5 linked regions of the Macaca fascicularis genome follow. The protein of the gene in region 1 purifies or fractionates together with the protein of each later gene. This does not show direct contact. Links are inferred from orthologs where the notes say so. Each region holds a gene or a part of one and is shown on either strand. Other genes may lie near its edges.

Region 1 (4,006 bases):
ATAAACATGTTTATTCATTCATTAATTTAACAAGTGTTTACTGTGCATCATTATCAAGGCATGACACTAGGTTTTATGGAAGATGCAAATATGACTTCCTATAACAACTTAGGATCTAGCAAGGGAGAGGAAATAAAAGATGAAACGGAATTTGATAAATAACACAGGAAAGGTGGAAAAAAAGTGTTAAAAAGTTCACATTAAAAGTGCAAAGTTCCCTTTGGGAAGTGGGGAGCTTTAGTGGAAATGGTAACAATTGGAAACCAAAAATTAAAAACAGACAAATAAGAGGGATAAGATAAAATGATAGATTAGTATCAATCTTGAAGCAGGACTCCTGAAGCAGGACATACTGCTACCGCAAAATTATTAACAAACTAGTTCCCATGGATTTAGATCCTTTCTGTAATCATAGCTAGAAACTGGTGTTCTTATGGGGAGCATCGCAGAAGGCTGTACTGTACTCAATACTTCCTATAAATGGACAGGAAAGGTTGGATGGTCATCTGTCACAAGAGTAACAATGTTTAGAAGTAGCTTGGACAGTAGTCATTGATTCACTTTTACTGGAGCTTGTAATGTCAGTATGTTGACATCATTGTGCAGCCCTTATCAGATTGTGAACACCAAGAGTACCCCAACTGCTGGCCCGCGAGCTGTTTACAAATATATCCGCTTTTATAGATGACAGTGGCCTTTAACATCTGGAGTTCAGAGTGGCACAAAATGTGTTTCTAAAGCTACTCTCCTTCCCACGTGCATCTCTTTGGTCAAGTTTATGGCTGGAATCAGACTCTAGTTAGATCGCTATAAAAATAAAAATAAAAATAAAAATAAATTTTCCCCAAGTGATTGAAACGAATTTCACCCTAGACTACGAGTCCCAACATGCAACGCTCCCATATTCCCACCATGTGGGGCGGAGTCGTAGAAGAGGCGGCAGCGGCGGCGGCCTATGCATTCTGGGTATTGTAGTCTCGGAACCGGCCACCGCTGGGGCTGGTCCCACGTGTTGCGTTTTGCGGCAGCTTTGGGCAGCGGCTCCCCTGCTCCCTCCACACGGTCCTCAGGGTGCCAGCGCCAGCAGGGGCGGCCAGCCACCGCGGGAGCGGGTTGGAGGGTGGTTCGGAGGCAGCCCGAGGCTTCGCGACGTTTTTGCGACAGCCGCGGCCGTGTTCCGCGAGTGCCCTCCCTCCTCCTCTCTTTGAGGAGGTACCGGCTGTTGTGCGGCGCTGCCTTTCTGTTTGAGTGTATGGGAGAGTGAGTGAGTGAGTGAGTGTGAGCGTGTGTGTGAGCGCGTGAGGCGTGAGTGCGCGTGTGAGAGGACGAGAGCCCGCCTGGCCGCCCCGCCGCTCCCGCCGCAGCAGGAGCAGAACGCGCGACCGGAGAGAGCGGCGGAGCCGGCGCCCAGGGAGCCCGCGGGGACAAGGGCAGAGACACCGCTCCCCACCCCCAGCCCTCGTCCCTCGGCTCTGCTTCGCCGGGGGATCCTCCCCGTTCCTCCACCCCCGGCCGGCCTCTGCCCCGCTGCCCCCCTGGATGTCCCCGGCGCTTTCGCGGGGCCTCCTCCTGCTCTTGCCGCATCAGTCGGGCTGGTGCTGCGGCCGGCGGGCGTAGAGCGGGCGGGTTCCCGGGGGCTGCGGCTGCCCGTGCTTCCCCGGTCCCCACCCCTGCCCCCCGGCCCCCCGACCCAGCTCTCCGGCCTCGGAGGCTGTGACAATGGACTATGACTTTAAAGTGAAGCTGAGCAGCGAGCGGGAGCGGGTCGAGGACCTGTTTGAATACGAGGGCTGCAAAGTTGGCCGAGGCACTTATGGTCACGTCTACAAAGCCAAGAGGAAAGATGGGTGAGTGTGTGCGTCTGGGCCGGTGTCCGCGCTGGGCGGCGCTCCCGCAGGCCGAGGCAGGTAGCCCGGAGGGAGAGCGGGCCGCCGGGGTGCCGGGCTCTGACTTCCTCGACGCCGGCCTCTGGCTCCGCCAGCAAGGTTTGGGGAGGAAGTGGTGTACAAGGGATCCAAAGCCACAAGAAATCCTGCGTGCCGCATCTGTGTTGTGCTTCGGTGCTAAGAGGGAAGAGGAGCCTCTGCACCGTGGGCTATATACTTTTCAAGGATTTCAAAGCTGATTTATGAAAAAATGCGTTCTAAAACGCCGGGTGAAATGTTTCTGTTTGTTTTTTTTTCCTTGGTCGATTTATTATGGTAACCTTCTGGGGATTTCCTCACCCGCCTCGGGAGTGTCATCCATCGGTCTAGAAGGAAGGCTGTGATCCTTTCCCCCACCAGTTTGTGATCGATTTTTTATCAAATTTGTATTTTATTTGAGGGAAGGAAGGCAGCGAGTGAATGTAGTTCTGGAGAGAGTTCCCCATACGGATCATCTGCACCATACATGTTGCAGTTGCTATTTAGATATTATTAGCTGTGAATTTTTACATAGAACAATGGGGGTTTGGTGCAGGGTGGGTGGTGGGGAAGAAGACAAGTGACATAGGGACTATCTCGTTGAGGCTGTTTCCCCCAAATTTAGCGGCTGGCAGTGAACTTTAAATAATCCCTTTGCTTTAAATATTCTTCCCTAGTAACAACTTAATTAAACCTATGAGTGGTAATGCTTCCAATTTAGTTTCTTAACAGGCAAGTGAATTGTTCGTTTTTTTCTCTTTGTCAGTAGATGAATGTCTTGTAATATTGACAAAAGAGAAGGCAGTTCTTAGTGGGGGGGAATAATATATATTTTATTAACTCCATGTTTTCTTGTAAAATGGATGTTGTCTCTGTTGCCTTTGACAGAATAGAAAATTATTGAAAAGTCAAAGCTTATTATATAATCTTTGGATTTTATTAGAAACGAAGTAGCTTTACTGGAACATTCCAGTTTAGTTACCTGCTATATGATGTTTAATCACTTAAAATTTCAGATTAGGAGAGTATGTTCAGACTACATTAGCACGAAAAAAAATTCATAAAGCTGAAGTTCCCTAGTGTGGGGGAGGGGGGCGCATATTTATAAATACTTTAGTATTCTGGATGTTGGAAAGGAAAGTGTGTATTTATTCAACATTTTTCTTAGATTTACTGAAATATCTTTCTAAAAGTGTTTACAATGGACTCTACGAGGAAGATAAGAGTTCTCATTAATTTGGAATATGTATTTTAGTGCTTTTATGCCACAATAAAGTGGAACAGATCGGCAGAAGGTAGGGATTTGGATTTGAAAACTTGATACTCTGGGCGCCGCACGTATTTAAAAGTACTTTTTAGCACTGGAGAAATCAGCGTCTGGAGATACTGCTGACTCTGTTGATGTCTAATTAGACTTATTGTTGAAGTTTTACTCTGTAATGACATATATTTTAAAAATTATGTTTGATAACTTACCATACAATATTTCTCAAAAGCTTTAAACCATCTCTCCTTCCCCCAGTATTATGTAATTTTGGGCATATTCATAAAATCCCCAATCCCATGAGATTAGACATTACAGTGCATTTGACCACACTGTCATGTTATATAAAATTCTAGCGCCTTTGCATTATTTTTAATCTGTGTGAGAGAAGCCGCTTCTGTTTTCAAAAACTATGAACTTAAGCTAATAAAATATGCATATTTGTTTTAACGTTGTACTTTTATTAGAAAACTAATACTGTGTATTGGCAGGAGGTACTTAAGCAAATATTTTATATCTCCATGGTCCGGTTTTAATTTAGGTTGTTAAGAATAATTTGAAAGAATAATTTCAATATCTTTGAATTTAAAGATAGTTGAAGGTATAATGTATGGACATTCTTAGTCATCCGTGACAGCTGAAAAGTAACATTGCATTTTGGAAAAAAGAGCTTATTATTTGTAATCCTTGGCGTTTGTTTTCCATCAGTCTTTAATGATTCTCTTTATGTGATGAACTTCTGTTTTTAATGGATCAAATGTCAAGAGAGTTTTAAAATTACTATCTTTTAGAGATAGTTTTGGAGAGTTTTAAAATTACAGGGATTTTTCAGTTTGAC
Region 2 (4,024 bases), on another chromosome or scaffold:
GTCCTTGTTCTCGAGTCTTCTCCTTCTTCCAGAGGTCGCAAAATGGCGGCCTGGCGGCCTCATTAGACCCACAGGCAGATTTTGTTTGGTCCTCACAGTGTTTTTGGTTTCAATTTGAATGCCATTAGGCGGGGCAAGCACTCTCCAAGTTCGCCACAGTCCCCATCATTCCCTGTTGTCTTACACCCGTCCGCTTCACACATTTTCATCACCTGCCTGGTCCCTGAAGCCATCTGAGTTTTCAAAAACCCCTGCTACACAGGCTGCCTGGGAAATCCCCCACTTTCACTTCTTCGCTGTCACCAGTGCCTCCTGCTCCACACGCACATTCCTGAGGATCGCCTAGAGAGCTTGCTCACACGACTCCCACACCCCCGCCCTCCCCCCGCTGGATCCAGCAGTTCCAGGGCAGGGATGGGAAACTCACATGCCTACAGGGGCCAGGCGGGTCACATAAATGAGTGAACTAGCCAGGTATAAGAAAAGTCGACGGCCAGAAATATCATCAAATCGGATCTTTACTGAACTATGGTGAATGCATGGAACATAATACAAACATGGATGATACTGGAGTTTATATTTTTAAATTCAAAATTGAAAAAATACAAATTGAAAAATAGAAATATTTAATTATTAAAATTCTCTTTCATAATTCTTTTTGCGCCTTTGAGTTGAAGCCAAAAGGCTGGCGTCTTCCCTTCCACACCGAGATGTGTCAGGCCTTGGGGTGGCACGGTGGGGATGGGCAGTTTAGAATTCAGCCTTGAATCCTTAAACTGGGAACAATGTTTAATTTGATTCAGGTTCGTAACGGAAAACAGCTGTTCACAAGCGTGGGTACTCCCAAACATGGATATTCAGGACAACTACTGGAGATAGTTGTAGAATCTCACCATCTTCACACAGACTTGTATTTAGGAACCAGCGCCGTATTGCACCATAGTTCAATTACTATTTATGGTCTGTATTCACACAAGAAACATTTACCAACAAAGGCAAACTGGACAGTGTCTCTTCCTTCTCATGAGTCTGGATTCCGAGGGCCTTTGGGGGAATTTGGTCTTCCACCCCAGGACGTAGGTGAATATAGTCCAGGCCACGTCTTTCACTTCTGAAAGCCAACTGTGGCGTAGGAAAGAGTAAATGTTTTTTTTCCTTGCTGGTGGATTCCCCGTTTTTGCCAGGACCAAGCATATACCATCTTACATTCAAGTAGCTGTTTGTGGACATCCTTGCAGAGAAATATTCAGTGTTCAGAACGGTCATAACCTTGACCAGAAGTCTTTGACTAACCTTCTCAGGGGAACCCACTGTGGCTTTTGCTTGATTTAAAATGAACCAAGCTGATTAACTTGTACAGTTTCAATTTCTTCCACAACCAAGTCACAGAGCTTCTGTGAAATCTCTCAGGTCAAGTCATCATCAACTCACTCGTGACTAAAGCCCAGGAGCGGAAGTGTCGAGAGCGTCACGGTGTGTTCTGTTCAGCTGCTCAGAACAAGTCAACTCCTGATGATGGATGCAACGACCCGACTTCCGTGTCCTTGCCAAATTGTCACCTTGGCTCAAGGTGTCCTGTCAAGTCCCCCTGTCATGACAGCTGTCTGTAGTTGTGCTTCAGAACTCTGGCCAGTCTATGTGAAACTTTTCTCTCAATATACAAAAAAAAAAATGAGTCCTTTCCCAGTGTTGGGCCCGCCTTGGCACCATGCCACAGACTTCTTCAGTCACATCAAGTTTCTTAACACCACAAATAAATAAAGCTAACTGGGTGGTAATAGTTTATGAGCAGCGAAAGAAAAGGCCACAATCAATTTGACTCTTTCAAGCAACTGGACTTCTAAATCCCCCGAGTTATCTCCAACTCACTGTGCAACGCAAATGCCCGTTAGACTTAAATAATGGTCTCAACAGTCATGTGTTTCTGTAAAGGACACGTCACTCTGCTCCTTTATCAACTCGCCATCTGCTGTAGCTCTGAATGCCCAGGTCATTCTTCTCACGTGATTCCGGAACGGCGTACCACTGCCGCACCACTTCTGTTAATTCGCTTTTCAAGACAAACCCTACTGACATTTGAGTCCCTTTTTCAGTTCGCTGAGGATGGCGTCTCGAGTCTGCTCTGTGTACTGGTCGTAGCTCTTGCTATGCTTTGATTCGTAGTGGCGTTTCAGGTTGTATTCTTTCAACACAGACACGATTTGTTTGCATATTAAACACATAGGCATGCTCTTCACTTCCACAAAGAAATAGGCTCGCTCCCACTTTTCTCGAAACACGCGGCCCTCTCCTTCTCTCTTTCGTTTTGCCGCTTGTGATACAGACATGAGTACAAGAAAGATTTCACTTTCCTCTGAATGCTACCACAGAACAACCACAGTGCAAGCCCCGTGACAAAGGCAGTGACTCTCTGCCTCACAGGGGAGCCAAGAGGGAGTGGTGGGGACTGTGGCGAACCGGAGAGCACACGCCCCATGGAGAGGGGCAGCTCCAGCCCGTTGTTGCCAGGCAGAAGGGCGGGCCCAGGGGTGCCAATTCTTCTGACTTGTCAAAAGATGCCAAGACTGCAGATTTTGCGTGTGTGTGTGTGTGTGTGTGTGTATTAACCTGATTTTTATAACTAACTCAAGAAAAAAATGCCACATATGCTAACACAGGGAAGGCCAAACAAAACTCATCTGCACCATGGCCCATAGGCCACCAGATTGCAATCTCTCTCCTGGGGTGGGGCCTGTGAATCTGTACGTTAACCAGCATCCAAAATGATGTGGATGCTGGTGGTCCAGGCATGGACCGCGCTCTCAGCAACACTGGTCCAGAGTCCGACAACAGACAACTCACTCTCCACCTCCAGGAGAGACCGCCCTGCGCTCCAAGCCTGTCTGGATCCCCTGCCCTCAGGATGTCTCTGAGGCCATCCTTTAGGTCCCTCACCTTGCCACATCCCAAACCTGTTCCCTGCTGGGTATTCCATCCTGGGGACAGACCCACCGTCTTCCCGTCCACAGCCCTGGAAGGTCAGTCTCTGATGTGGACCCAGGGACCACCCTCTCTCCATGTGCGATCTTGTCTGCTTCTGTGGCTTGAACCCCAAACATACACTGTCCTCTAAGGACACGTCCTGAGCTCCCAAAATGGCACCTGTCACCTGGACGTCCCTTGGACCACGTACACTTACTACCAGCTCCTTCTCCCAGGAGCCCCACCACCTACCATCACGTAGGCCTGACCCCAGAAGCCAACCTCTACCCCAGTCCCCAGCATCCCCACCACCCAGCCTCACCCTTCCTGGCCTCCTGTCTGGTCTCATCACGCTCCACAGCTGAGAGGGCTCTTTCTGACATCCAGAGCCGGCCTAAGCCCGCCCCACCGCTCAAAGTCTCCTGGTTCTCCTGTGTCCCCAGGACAAACCACGGGCTGCTCAGTTTGGCATCTGAGCTCCTCAAACTCTGCACCTGCCCATCTCTCTACACATGAGCTCCCTACACGCTCATGCTCCAAAAGCATCCATCAATTTGCTCCTCTCAACATCCCAGGCTTCCTCCTGTCTTTGAGTATTCAAAGTTTCTGTTGTTCTCTGCACCCAGATCACCCCTCACCTCCTTCCCTCCCGGCCTGACAGCTGATTCTCTTTCAAGACTGAGGAGCTGGGGCTGGGTCAGACACCTCTTCCAGGCTCCCATGGTGCCCCGCCACCTCCATGAGAGCTTGAGTCCTGAGCGCTGCCTGCCTGTCCCTGCATCTCCCACGAACCAGGTTGCACCAGACTGCCTCTGACTCACCACGGAGGCCCCGGCGTCACCCACCCAGGGCCCCAGGGATATCTGCTGAAGTGAGAACAAGGACAGAGATGCCCCCTGGGGTTTCCTCCTGCCCAGTCCTGGGGGATGTCAGTGACGGGAGCCGGGGCGTGTGTTAAAAAGGAACTTTATTGGGTGTTGGGGATTCAGATGAGATCCATGAGGATGTCGTCCTCCATGACGCTGGGCTGCAGGCCCGGCTGGGGGACCGGGCCTCGGGGACC
Region 3 (3,500 bases), on another chromosome or scaffold:
TCGCTCTTGTTGTCCAGACTGGAAGGCAGTGGTGCGATCTTGGCTCACTGCAACCTCCGCCTCCTGGTTTCAAGCAATTCTCCTGCCTCAGCCTCCCATGTAGCTGGGATTACAGGCACACACCACCACGCCTGGCTAAGTTTTGTATTTTTGGTAGAGACAGGGTTTCACCATGTTGGCTAGGCTAGTCTTGAACTTCTGACCTCAAGTGATCCTCCCACCTCGGCCTTCCAAAGTGCTGGGATTACAGGTGTGAGCCACAGTGCCCGGCAGTTTCCTTATTTGTAACAAGTTGATAAATAACATCTTCATAGGACTATTGTGAGGATTTGGAGAGTTAATTCATCTAAAGGCCTTAGGACGCAGACTGGCACGTTGTTGGTTGGCAATTGTTACCTACCACTCTAAAGGGGAAGCCACCATATGAGGTTCACTCACCATAGGAGGAAACCTTGGAAATGTTTTTTTTGTTTTGTTTTGTTCCATTGTTTTGATTCAATTTTTGTGAATACTGTTGCCTCTCATTCCCGAAGATTATAAACTTGAAGGCTGCTTTTTTTCTGTTCCTAGGGCTGTTGACTAGAACTTTCTGTGATGATGGAAATGTTCTCTAACAGCAGTGTCCAATACACTAGTCCCAGCCACCTGTGGCTCTGGGCTACTGTGCTGAACAGCTCCACAGAGTTGGTAAAAACGTGTTAACCCAAACTGAGACTTTGTCCTTGATGTAGTCAGAACTGAAAGAGTTGCAAAAGGAATCCCTTTTTCATTATATAACTCAGCATTATTGAATGCTCAGCCTGTGTGCCATCTAGAATCTTCGGCATGCCACACTTGAGAATGTCCCATGATAGGAAGTTCATTGCTCTGGTGTGAGAATCCTGAGAACTATGCTTCAGTTCTTAGAGGGGCTCTCAGGGACAGTGGTCCTCTATTCCTTGTCTTTAAAATGGGGGACTGGTCCAAGTGTAATGAGTTATCTTAATTGATTGTTCACATTCGGTTACAGATTGGACTCCTTGTTCTACTCTTCCCCATTCTAACTACTGCACTTGACTGGTCTTAACTTTTTTTTTTTTTTTAAGATCGAGTCTCGCCCTGTTGCCCACACTGGAATACAATGGTGCAATCTCGGCTTACTGCGAGCTCTGCCTCCCAGGTTCAAATGATTCTCCTGCCTCAGCCTCACAAGTAGCTGGGATTACAGGCGCCTGCTACCACGCCCAGCTAAATAATTTTTGTATTTTTAATAGAGACAGGGTTTCACCATGTTGGCCATTCTTGTCTTGAACTCCTGACCTCGTGATCCGCCCACTTTGACCTCCCAAAGTGCTGGGATTACAGGCATGAGCCACCATGCCTGGCCAAAAAAAATTTTTTTTAAAATTTATAATAAAGTTGCAGGGGTTGGGAGACGGTCAGAGTAGGTAATTTCCAAGATAACTTTTGGCCCTGACGAGCTGTGATGCTGTGGGCGAGTGAGTGGCTCAGTGAGCACATGTGTGTCTCTGGATAACTGACAATTTGGTGCTCTCCTTTCCAGTGTGTCCCAGATGCCTGTGGCTGAGGGCAAGAGTGTTCAGCAAACCGTAGAGCTCCTTACCCGGAAATTGGAGATGCTTGGGGCAGAGAAGCAAGGAACATTTTGTGTGGACTGTGAGACTTACCATACGGCTGCATCTACCCTTGGCAGCCAAGGTCAGTGACATGGGTCTGTAGGATGGCTGGAACGAGGGTTGGAGTTAATAGACATTTGTGTTAATTGAAGTATTTCTGCTTTTCTGCTAAGGGTGGTGTTCTTAAACATGTGGCGAGATGTGTTTCTGAATTCATTAATTATTGGTTCTTTATTTCTTAGAATAGGGCCTTTGAAAGCTTTATTTTATTTTATTTTATTTTATTTATTTTGTTGAGACAGGGTCTTACTCTGTCGCCCAGGCTGGAGTGCAGTGGCATGATCACAGCTCACTGACTGCAGCCTCGACCCCCTGGGCTCAAGTGATCCTTCCACCTTGGCCTCCTGACTTGGCCTCCTGAGTAGCTGACATGACAGGCATGAGCCACCACACCTGGCTAATATTTTAAATTTTTTGTAGAGACAGGGTCTCCCTATGTTGACCAGGCTGGTTTTGAATTCCTGGCCTGAAGGGACTATCCGGCCTCAGCTTCCCAAAGTATTGGGATTATAGGTATGAGCCGCCACTCCTGGCTAAAGCTTTATTGAGGTATAGTTGATATACAAGCAGTTGCACACATCTAATGCATACATCTTAATGAGTTTGGATATATGCATACACCTATGATATCATCACCACAACCAAGGTACTAAACATATCTGTTACATCCCAAAATTTCTTTGTGTGTGTGTGTGTGTTTTTTTTTTTAAGAGATAGTCTTGCTTTGTTGTCCAGGCTGGAGTGCTTTGGTGTCTCATAGCTCACTGCAGCCTCAAACTCCTGGGGTCAGGTGATCCTCCCACCTTAGCCTCCTGAGTAGCTGAAACTACTGGCATGTGCCACCATGCCTGGCTGATTTTTTCACGTTTGGGTGGGGTCATGGGAGTGTCTTACTATGCTGCCCAAGTTCGTCTCAAACTCCCAGTCACAAGACATCCTTCCACCTTAGCTTCTCAAGTAGCTGGTATCAAACTCCTGAGCTCAGGGGATCCACCAGCAAGGGCCTCCCGAAGTGCTGAGATGACAGGCATGAGCCACCATGCCTGGCCCTTGTGTTCTTTGAGTGCTTTTTGTTTTGTGCAGTTTGAACTCTAAAAGCAATGTTTCTCAGAGGGTTAATCACTGACTAACCACATCAGAATCACCTGGGATGCTTGTTAGAGTTGCAGATTCCTGGCCTTGTTTACTGATTGACTGCTGCTGTAGGCCACGTAATCTACATTTAATAATCCAGACAATCCTTATGCACTCTGAAATTTGAGAAAGACTTGTTTTAGGCCCAGAAGTCTTTGTTTATGATTCTTTTAGAGCTTTAGGGCTTCTAGAAGTTTCTTTTTATAGAGTTCCTGTTTTCCTACACCTAACCATTGGCATTGACCTCCTCATTAGCATAAATCAATTGTTCTTTTTAGTGGATTGAGTGATGAGATGGGGTGTGGATGATGGGGGATGGTGGTTGGGAGGGAGAGAGGATTTTTTTTTTTTTCTTTTTAGAGTGAGGGTCTCACTTTGTTGCCCAACTGTACAGTGGCATGATCACAGCTCACTGCAAGCTCTTAACTCCTGGGCTCAGGCAATGAGAAACTCTTTGGATATGAGTTAGGGAACTTGTTTCTCTTAGTCTTGGCTCTGCAGTAACTTGACCTTGAACAGTTCCATAACACTGGTTATCACTGGGGAGCCAGAGCCCTGAGTCCTGGCTTTGCCACATTCTAACTGTGTACCTGTAGGTAACTCCAACAACCTATCTGTTACTATTTCCACGCCTCTCACGTACCTGTTTCCCTTAGATCCATTTCCTGCACTTCCCCTGTAAGCTGTATT
Region 4 (2,971 bases), on another chromosome or scaffold:
TTTAGCATCTTTTGAAGATATTTGTTTGAAACATTTTTTACTGTGGTGATTTTCGAATTCTGTCATTCTGCATTTATTAGTTTGGAATTCGATTGTAAGGCAGTACATTCCCTTGTTTTCTATTTATTATTTTATTAAAGAAATTTACATCCATTTAGTATTTTATCCTGTGAATTAGAATTATGTATTTTCTTGCTCTGAGTATTCTAGATTTGGCCATTGGGAGTCCCTTCAAGTTGGTTCCTGAATACTTTTGATCGTCCCAATAATTTTTAGCACTTTTTCTTCTGGCACTACGTAATGTTCCAGGCTCATCTTGTACTTTCCCTCTCTTATCCCTGAATCACCCTTTTCTCCAAGGAAACCTGCTCCTTGGATACCACAATCTGGACATTGTGTGTTCATTAGTACCACAGTGTCATTGCTTCTAGGCCCTCTCAGTACACAAAGCTCAAGAACTCTATGTTTGTATGTGTATCCATGCACACATGTATACATCTGTTTATCCTGTCTACCTATATTAAAAGCCCTAAGTACATACTAATGTTTTCAATACCAGCTCAGTAACACAGGATTCATTCTAGCCTTTTTCCTTTCCTTGTCGAAATTTGGCTGTCCTTATCCACAGTATATTTACTTGTCCAATCCTAGAGTATATCTAATTTCAGAGTTGGTATATCCCTGTGGACAAGAAGAGTATAATGTATGTGCATAGTTCTCTTTCAAACCAACTCACTTTTAAATGAAAGTTGTCTTTTTATCACTATTGATGGAAAAACAAAGAACTATCAATTAAACACAGAATTAGTAAAATATGTTCATGTTCTTCACGTTGGAAACCACTAGAAGGGAATAGCATGGTTTGTCCCTACATTTTCACTCTGCTTACCAGTTACTGTGTTGTGTGGTCCTGAGCAAGTTTAAATTTAATCTTTCTGAACTTAAACCTTCTCACTTTCGAAAATATTGCTGAACACTGACCTTTGATGACCAATCAGGGAAAACACCCTATGCTGCCAGTGTGTACTAAGTTAAAGAAATGGTAGGCTACAAGATCATTTTTAAGAGAATAACTTAATTAGACCTTGGCATTATTTACTTAAATTATGTTGTTCATTTACTTATAAACTTAAACCCAGGTACCCTCAGTGTTTACACATGTTAGAGCTGCTCCAATACGAACACTTCCGAAAGGAGCTGGTGAATGCTCAGTGTGCGAAATTCATTGATGAACAGCAGATTCTACATTGGCAGCACTATTCCCGGAAGCGGATGCGCCTTCAGCAAGCCTTGGCAGAGCAGCAACAGCAAAATAACACATCGGGAAAATGAAAAACCGGATACAGATGAGGCTCTCAATACATGTATATAATGTATTTCTTTTGTACAGTGAAGACAAAAAATGAAAACTCTTCCTATCTACCTTTATTATGGTAGCCCCTAGAACCTTTAGTGTGCTTTTTAATCCAACTTTTTATTGTTAATAGACTATTTCTTTTAAACCTGAATTGGTCTACTTTGATTTCCCTGTGGATTTGTAAGGTGTTTTCTTTTGTATGCATTTAGCATAGTCAGCTGATTAAGAATGGAAAAGTTAGGTGCTTTAGACCAAATGAGGCACTGGGGCATGGGGTAGGGGTGGGCCACCAAGTATACTGAATTCTAAGGCTAGCTCTTCCTGACATATAGTAGCGCAAGGCCATCTCCTGGAACCTTACTGTCTCTCAGATCAACTACTCTACCACTCTTATCTATGTAGTGAGAGTAGCGGAGTCAGTGACCTCTTGAAATCACAGGATAGGAACTGCATAAAGGTTCTCAAATTCTGCAGGACAGGAAATCCCTGTATTACCTGCTTTGCAAGGTGGCTTTAAGAATCACTGTGGCCTCATTTGACCTAGTCATGGCAGGACAACTAGTGGTTAATTACTAATTGGACTCTTGACTTTAGAACAAACATGAGGAGCCTCAAATACTTGTGCTCATTTGGGAAAACTAACATTGATTTGGGAGGTACCACATACCAGGTGCTATGTTAAGTGCTTCCTTGAATTCTCATTTTATTCTCAGAACCTTGTTTACAGAAGAGAAAACTGAGGTTTGGATGGGGCGGGTAACTTGCCTGTGGTTACACAGCTAGTAAGTGGTAGAATCAGTGTGACTGACTCCAGCTTGGAGTTCTTCCCACCACTGGGTTACACAGTCTTTCCAGCCCCTCTCCGCCACCTGCCTAATCCCAAGTAAAGCACATTGAGAGAGCCGCAAAACGAACTGCCTCTAGTGCTCAGGATCGGTTTCTTCATGAACAAAACAAAACTGCCTGAATTAAGCAGAGGCTGGATTAGAGGTAATATGCTTCCTTCAGTGGTGAGGTTAGGTTCTACGTTCCAAAATCAAAGAAGGGGTTTCAGGAATATCAGTTGCTTTGCAGATGCAGATAATTTAAAATAAAAGATCCTGATCTTTTGAAAGATTTGGAAGGTGTGCTCTGCGCCTTTAGGAGTTTTTAGGTATTTCCGTCACCTTCAATGATACATTCCTTTGAGCCTTTACTGCTACTTCTGAAGACTTGTTTATATCTTAAAAATATCCATATATTACAGGCAAACTAAAGGTTCATGGGCATTTTAATAGCACTCTACTGTTTAGACACATGCCAGTTTTTTAACCTCATTTATTGCTAACATGTATTCAAAGCAATATACAGTTTATTGATACTAGAACAAATCAGGAAATCAAGACATGATTGCCATCATAAAATCTTAATCTTCAGAGAACAACATTTCCACCAGGTTGGCCTGAAGACACTCAGATTCTACCAGTTTTTGAGGCTGTAAGAGAAGAACAGTCAAATCTTCACTACTCCTATAAAACGTTATTAGGAGTGGAATAGGTTCTGCCTTGAATGACACTAATCTTTGAACACAGAAATTATGCAATTCAGAAACTATCAACTAGTTATAACAAGTTT
Region 5 (2,901 bases), on another chromosome or scaffold:
TTTAGCAAGTTTTGTTTGGCATTTGTCACCTGATATTGGTATTGGTTTGTTAATTGAACCAACATGTTCATGAGCTTATTTGCCAAGCATTCATTCTTTCCACAGACATTTCTTGAGTGCCTGCAGTGTGCCACACACTGGGCCGAGGGTAGGGAGACACCTGTGACCAGACAGACATGGTCCTTGACCTCACAGAGTGACAGTTGACTTGACAGAAGATCAAGAGTGTCTGTGTGTGATCTGCAAGTGTTCTAGGCCTGGGAGCTCTTTGCTGGCTGCCTAAAAGAGAACCCGTCCCTTCCTCTGGGGGTGGACAGCCTAGTCAGAGGCTAGACACATAAAATGAAGTGTTCTAAAAGCTATCGCAGGAATGACAGCGAGCTCTGGGGGGTGCAGGATGGGAAAGCCAAGACATGTATCAAGCTGCGAATGCTAACAGCTGTTCTTCCCCCACAGCATGGACAAGGACAGCCCGGAGGTCCACCAGGACCTGAACGCCCTCAAAACCAAGTTCCAGGAGATGCGCAAGCTCATCAGCACCATGCCCGGCATCCACCTGAGCCCTGAGCAGCAGCAGCAGCAGCTGCAGAGCCTCCGGGAGCAAGTCAGGACCAAGAACGAGCTTCTGCAAAAGTACAAGAGCCTCTGCATGTTCGAAATCCCCAAGGAGTAGAGTGAGGCCGACTTCCTGAGAAACGGGGGGAAGCCAATGGCCTGTCTCCCCACTACCATCCCCAAAGTCTCCTTGGGGCGTGGTTCCTGTGGACCCCAGCTCAGAACCTCAAGGTGCAGGGGCGGGGCTCCTGTGCTGCTGCATGTGCGTCGCCTGTGCGGGAGCCAGCACCGAGCTTGGCTGCGCTGGGTTTCTTCGTGTAGATCCATATGTCTAGATGCATAATAACTGGAGTGCCTGCTGGTGGAAGTCAGAATGCTCCTGGAGGCAGCGGAGGGGGTGGAGGGCTCTCCCCTGCCGCTGGGGAGGGGGCCATCTGCTGCGCCGGGCTCCACTGACAGATCTGAAGAGCACAGTAGGAAGGGAGGCAGTTCCTCTTTGCTTCCTTCCCTCCCTCTCCTCCCACCCCCATAGGATCAGTGTGTACCAGGTACACATTGTTCCCGTTAAAGCAGCTTCTTGAAACATTTGCATAGAATTCACTGGATGAATTAAGCCTGCGCTCATATGGCGTAGAACTGTGAGATAATGTTTTGAAAGGCCAGAGGGTGGCCTTTTTCCCAAACAGTTTGGTTCCTTTTATGTTTGAGCCAGTGAATGGAACTATAGCTGTGGGGGTGTCAGCCCAGAGCCCTGCCAGGCAGCCCCTTGCTCCAGGTTCCCTGCCTCCTCCAGGTTCCCTGCCTCCTGGGCTCTCCTCGCGGTCACCTCTTGCTCCCTTCCTCGCTCATCACCCTCAGTCAGTGCCCAAGAGTGGACAAAACGCTTCAGATGTGCTTCCCCAGGGTTGACAAGGGGCCATCCTTTCCACACAGGCTCGAAGAGGTCTTCAGGCGAACAGACCTTCCCCCTTCTGGCATTTCAGATTCCCATTGCTCTGGTTAAAAGATCTTTTCCTTCTGGCCTTTGCACTTGTGGCAGCAACATGTACTACACTGCAGAGGGGTTCACTATGCACCTTGTGTTCAGAGAGCGGCAACCCTGGGGGCCAGTTCAGGTGGTCCCCGACCATGAGCTAGGTCTGAAAGTTACACAGCCAAGTTTGAGCTCTTAAAAGTTTGTGAACAGCCCTCATTTCCCCAGCTTCCCTGATTTCTTCCAGATGGGACGTTTTGTTTGTGTGCTCTCCCTTGCCTGTCAGACTGAGGTAAGAGCAGTTCTCTCCCTTTCCTCTCGAGGAGGAGGTGTGAAGTCCTGGAGTATTGTTTGGGTCTAGGAATGGGCACATAACCTGCGCTGACCAGTTTAGGGGCTTAACAGATGCCCGTCAACTGACCTCGTTGGCAGGAGGATTGGGTGGAGATGTTTTTAGCAGAGCTTCCATTAGTGTAGACCTGTAGCCACGTGTCAGAAGGTGGGTGGCATATTGGGGACCTGGGGCTGTGTGAAGGAGGAGATCAGATTTCAGTGGCTTTGGGCAGAAAAGCAGGCTCTGGATTTAAGCGAGTGGTCACCTGTGAGACCAGTTCTACCTTGGGACTGTTATTTAACTGAATCAGTTATTTCCTTGAAATTTCACAGTAGTGGGTGGGCCAGTTTTAAGGCTCTGACAGATACCATGAAACATGAAGCACGTGGAAAATACAAGACCCCCAGGGTCTTTCTGAGTGCAAGGCTGAAATGGACAAGGGCTCCTCGTAGGGGCGGAGGGAGCCGGAGCCTGCCTTGTGTTCCTTTGTTGACTTGTAACATTTTTCAAATGCATAATTAAAAGGACTTACGCTCTGCTGTCTCAGGACATCATGCTTTTTGGACTGAGAAATTCATAGTGGGATGGCTCTCAGGGAGTTGAGAGAAAAATGTTTCTGTCTATTCAGACACAGAACCACACCTCTGCTTATCACCTCCCTCCGCCCCAGGACACACACCTGCTGAACCAGTATGGAACAGGAACTCCTCTCCTGGCTGGCCTCAAGGGCAGTTTGCCTGGCGTGTCATCCCTGCCAGTGCCTGTCACGAGCCCCTGGGCCATCCGTGGTTGCGTTTTTTTTTTTTTTTTTCTTCTGGTGGGGCGCGGCGGGGTGGGGGGTGCCTTTCTGTGACTGGAGGAGGAGCCACCCTCACTGGAGCAGGGTTGAAATCCTTCTCAGACGATTTTGAGTGTCTCTCACAGGGCTGAGCACCCTCTCAAAGCCACCAATTATTTGGATTACTGGGTGGCCAGCATTTGTGCTAAGTACTTTTCAAACATCGCACTTAATCCCCATAGCGAGCCCATGCCAGGGGTG

What was found.
Region 2: the proteins of CDK8 (region 1) and MED25 purify together in Homo sapiens (affinity purification with mass spectrometry; 8 studies listed by BioGRID and IntAct, counting the BioPlex papers as one, with this or other methods). This does not show direct contact. The link is inferred for Macaca fascicularis from reciprocal best matches to the Homo sapiens genes CDK8 and MED25.
Region 3: the proteins of CDK8 (region 1) and MED20 purify together in Homo sapiens (affinity purification with mass spectrometry; 8 studies listed by BioGRID and IntAct, counting the BioPlex papers as one, with this or other methods). This does not show direct contact. The link is inferred for Macaca fascicularis from reciprocal best matches to the Homo sapiens genes CDK8 and MED20.
Region 4: the proteins of CDK8 (region 1) and MED31 purify together in Homo sapiens (affinity purification with mass spectrometry; 7 studies listed by BioGRID and IntAct, with this or other methods). This does not show direct contact. The link is inferred for Macaca fascicularis from reciprocal best matches to the Homo sapiens genes CDK8 and MED31.
Region 5: the proteins of CDK8 (region 1) and MED9 purify together in Homo sapiens (affinity purification with mass spectrometry; 10 studies listed by BioGRID and IntAct, counting the BioPlex papers as one, with this or other methods). This does not show direct contact. The link is inferred for Macaca fascicularis from reciprocal best matches to the Homo sapiens genes CDK8 and MED9.

What each region holds. Positions count from the first base shown.
Region 1 is NC_088391.1:6,305,606-6,309,611, forward strand, and holds the start of CDK8 (cyclin-dependent kinase 8), read left to right. Parts: upstream 1-1,206; 5' UTR 1,207-1,719; coding exon 1,720-1,847; intron 1,848-4,006.
Region 2 is NC_088393.1:57,821,044-57,825,067, reverse strand, and holds the end of MED25 (mediator of RNA polymerase II transcription subunit 25), read right to left. Parts: coding exon of another isoform or gene 3,947-4,024; exon of another isoform or gene 3,912-3,946; intron 2,312-3,911; coding exon 2,067-2,311; 3' UTR 501-2,066; downstream 1-500. UniProt on the Homo sapiens protein: Component of the Mediator complex, a coactivator involved in the regulated transcription of nearly all RNA polymerase II-dependent genes.
Region 3 is NC_088378.1:129,652,266-129,655,765, forward strand, and holds part of MED20 (mediator of RNA polymerase II transcription subunit 20), read left to right. Parts: intron 1-1,543; coding exon 1,544-1,698; intron 1,699-3,500. UniProt on the Homo sapiens protein: Component of the Mediator complex, a coactivator involved in the regulated transcription of nearly all RNA polymerase II-dependent genes.
Region 4 is NC_088390.1:6,686,294-6,689,264, reverse strand, and holds the end of MED31 (mediator of RNA polymerase II transcription subunit 31), read left to right. Parts: intron 1-1,139; coding exon 1,140-1,332; 3' UTR 1,333-2,471; downstream 2,472-2,971. Other genes in the region: TXNDC17 (thioredoxin domain-containing protein 17), read right to left, coding at 2,763-2,831. UniProt on the Homo sapiens protein: Component of the Mediator complex, a coactivator involved in the regulated transcription of nearly all RNA polymerase II-dependent genes.
Region 5 is NC_088390.1:17,591,592-17,594,492, forward strand, and holds the end of MED9 (mediator of RNA polymerase II transcription subunit 9), read left to right. Parts: intron 1-456; coding exon 457-673; 3' UTR 674-2,401; downstream 2,402-2,901.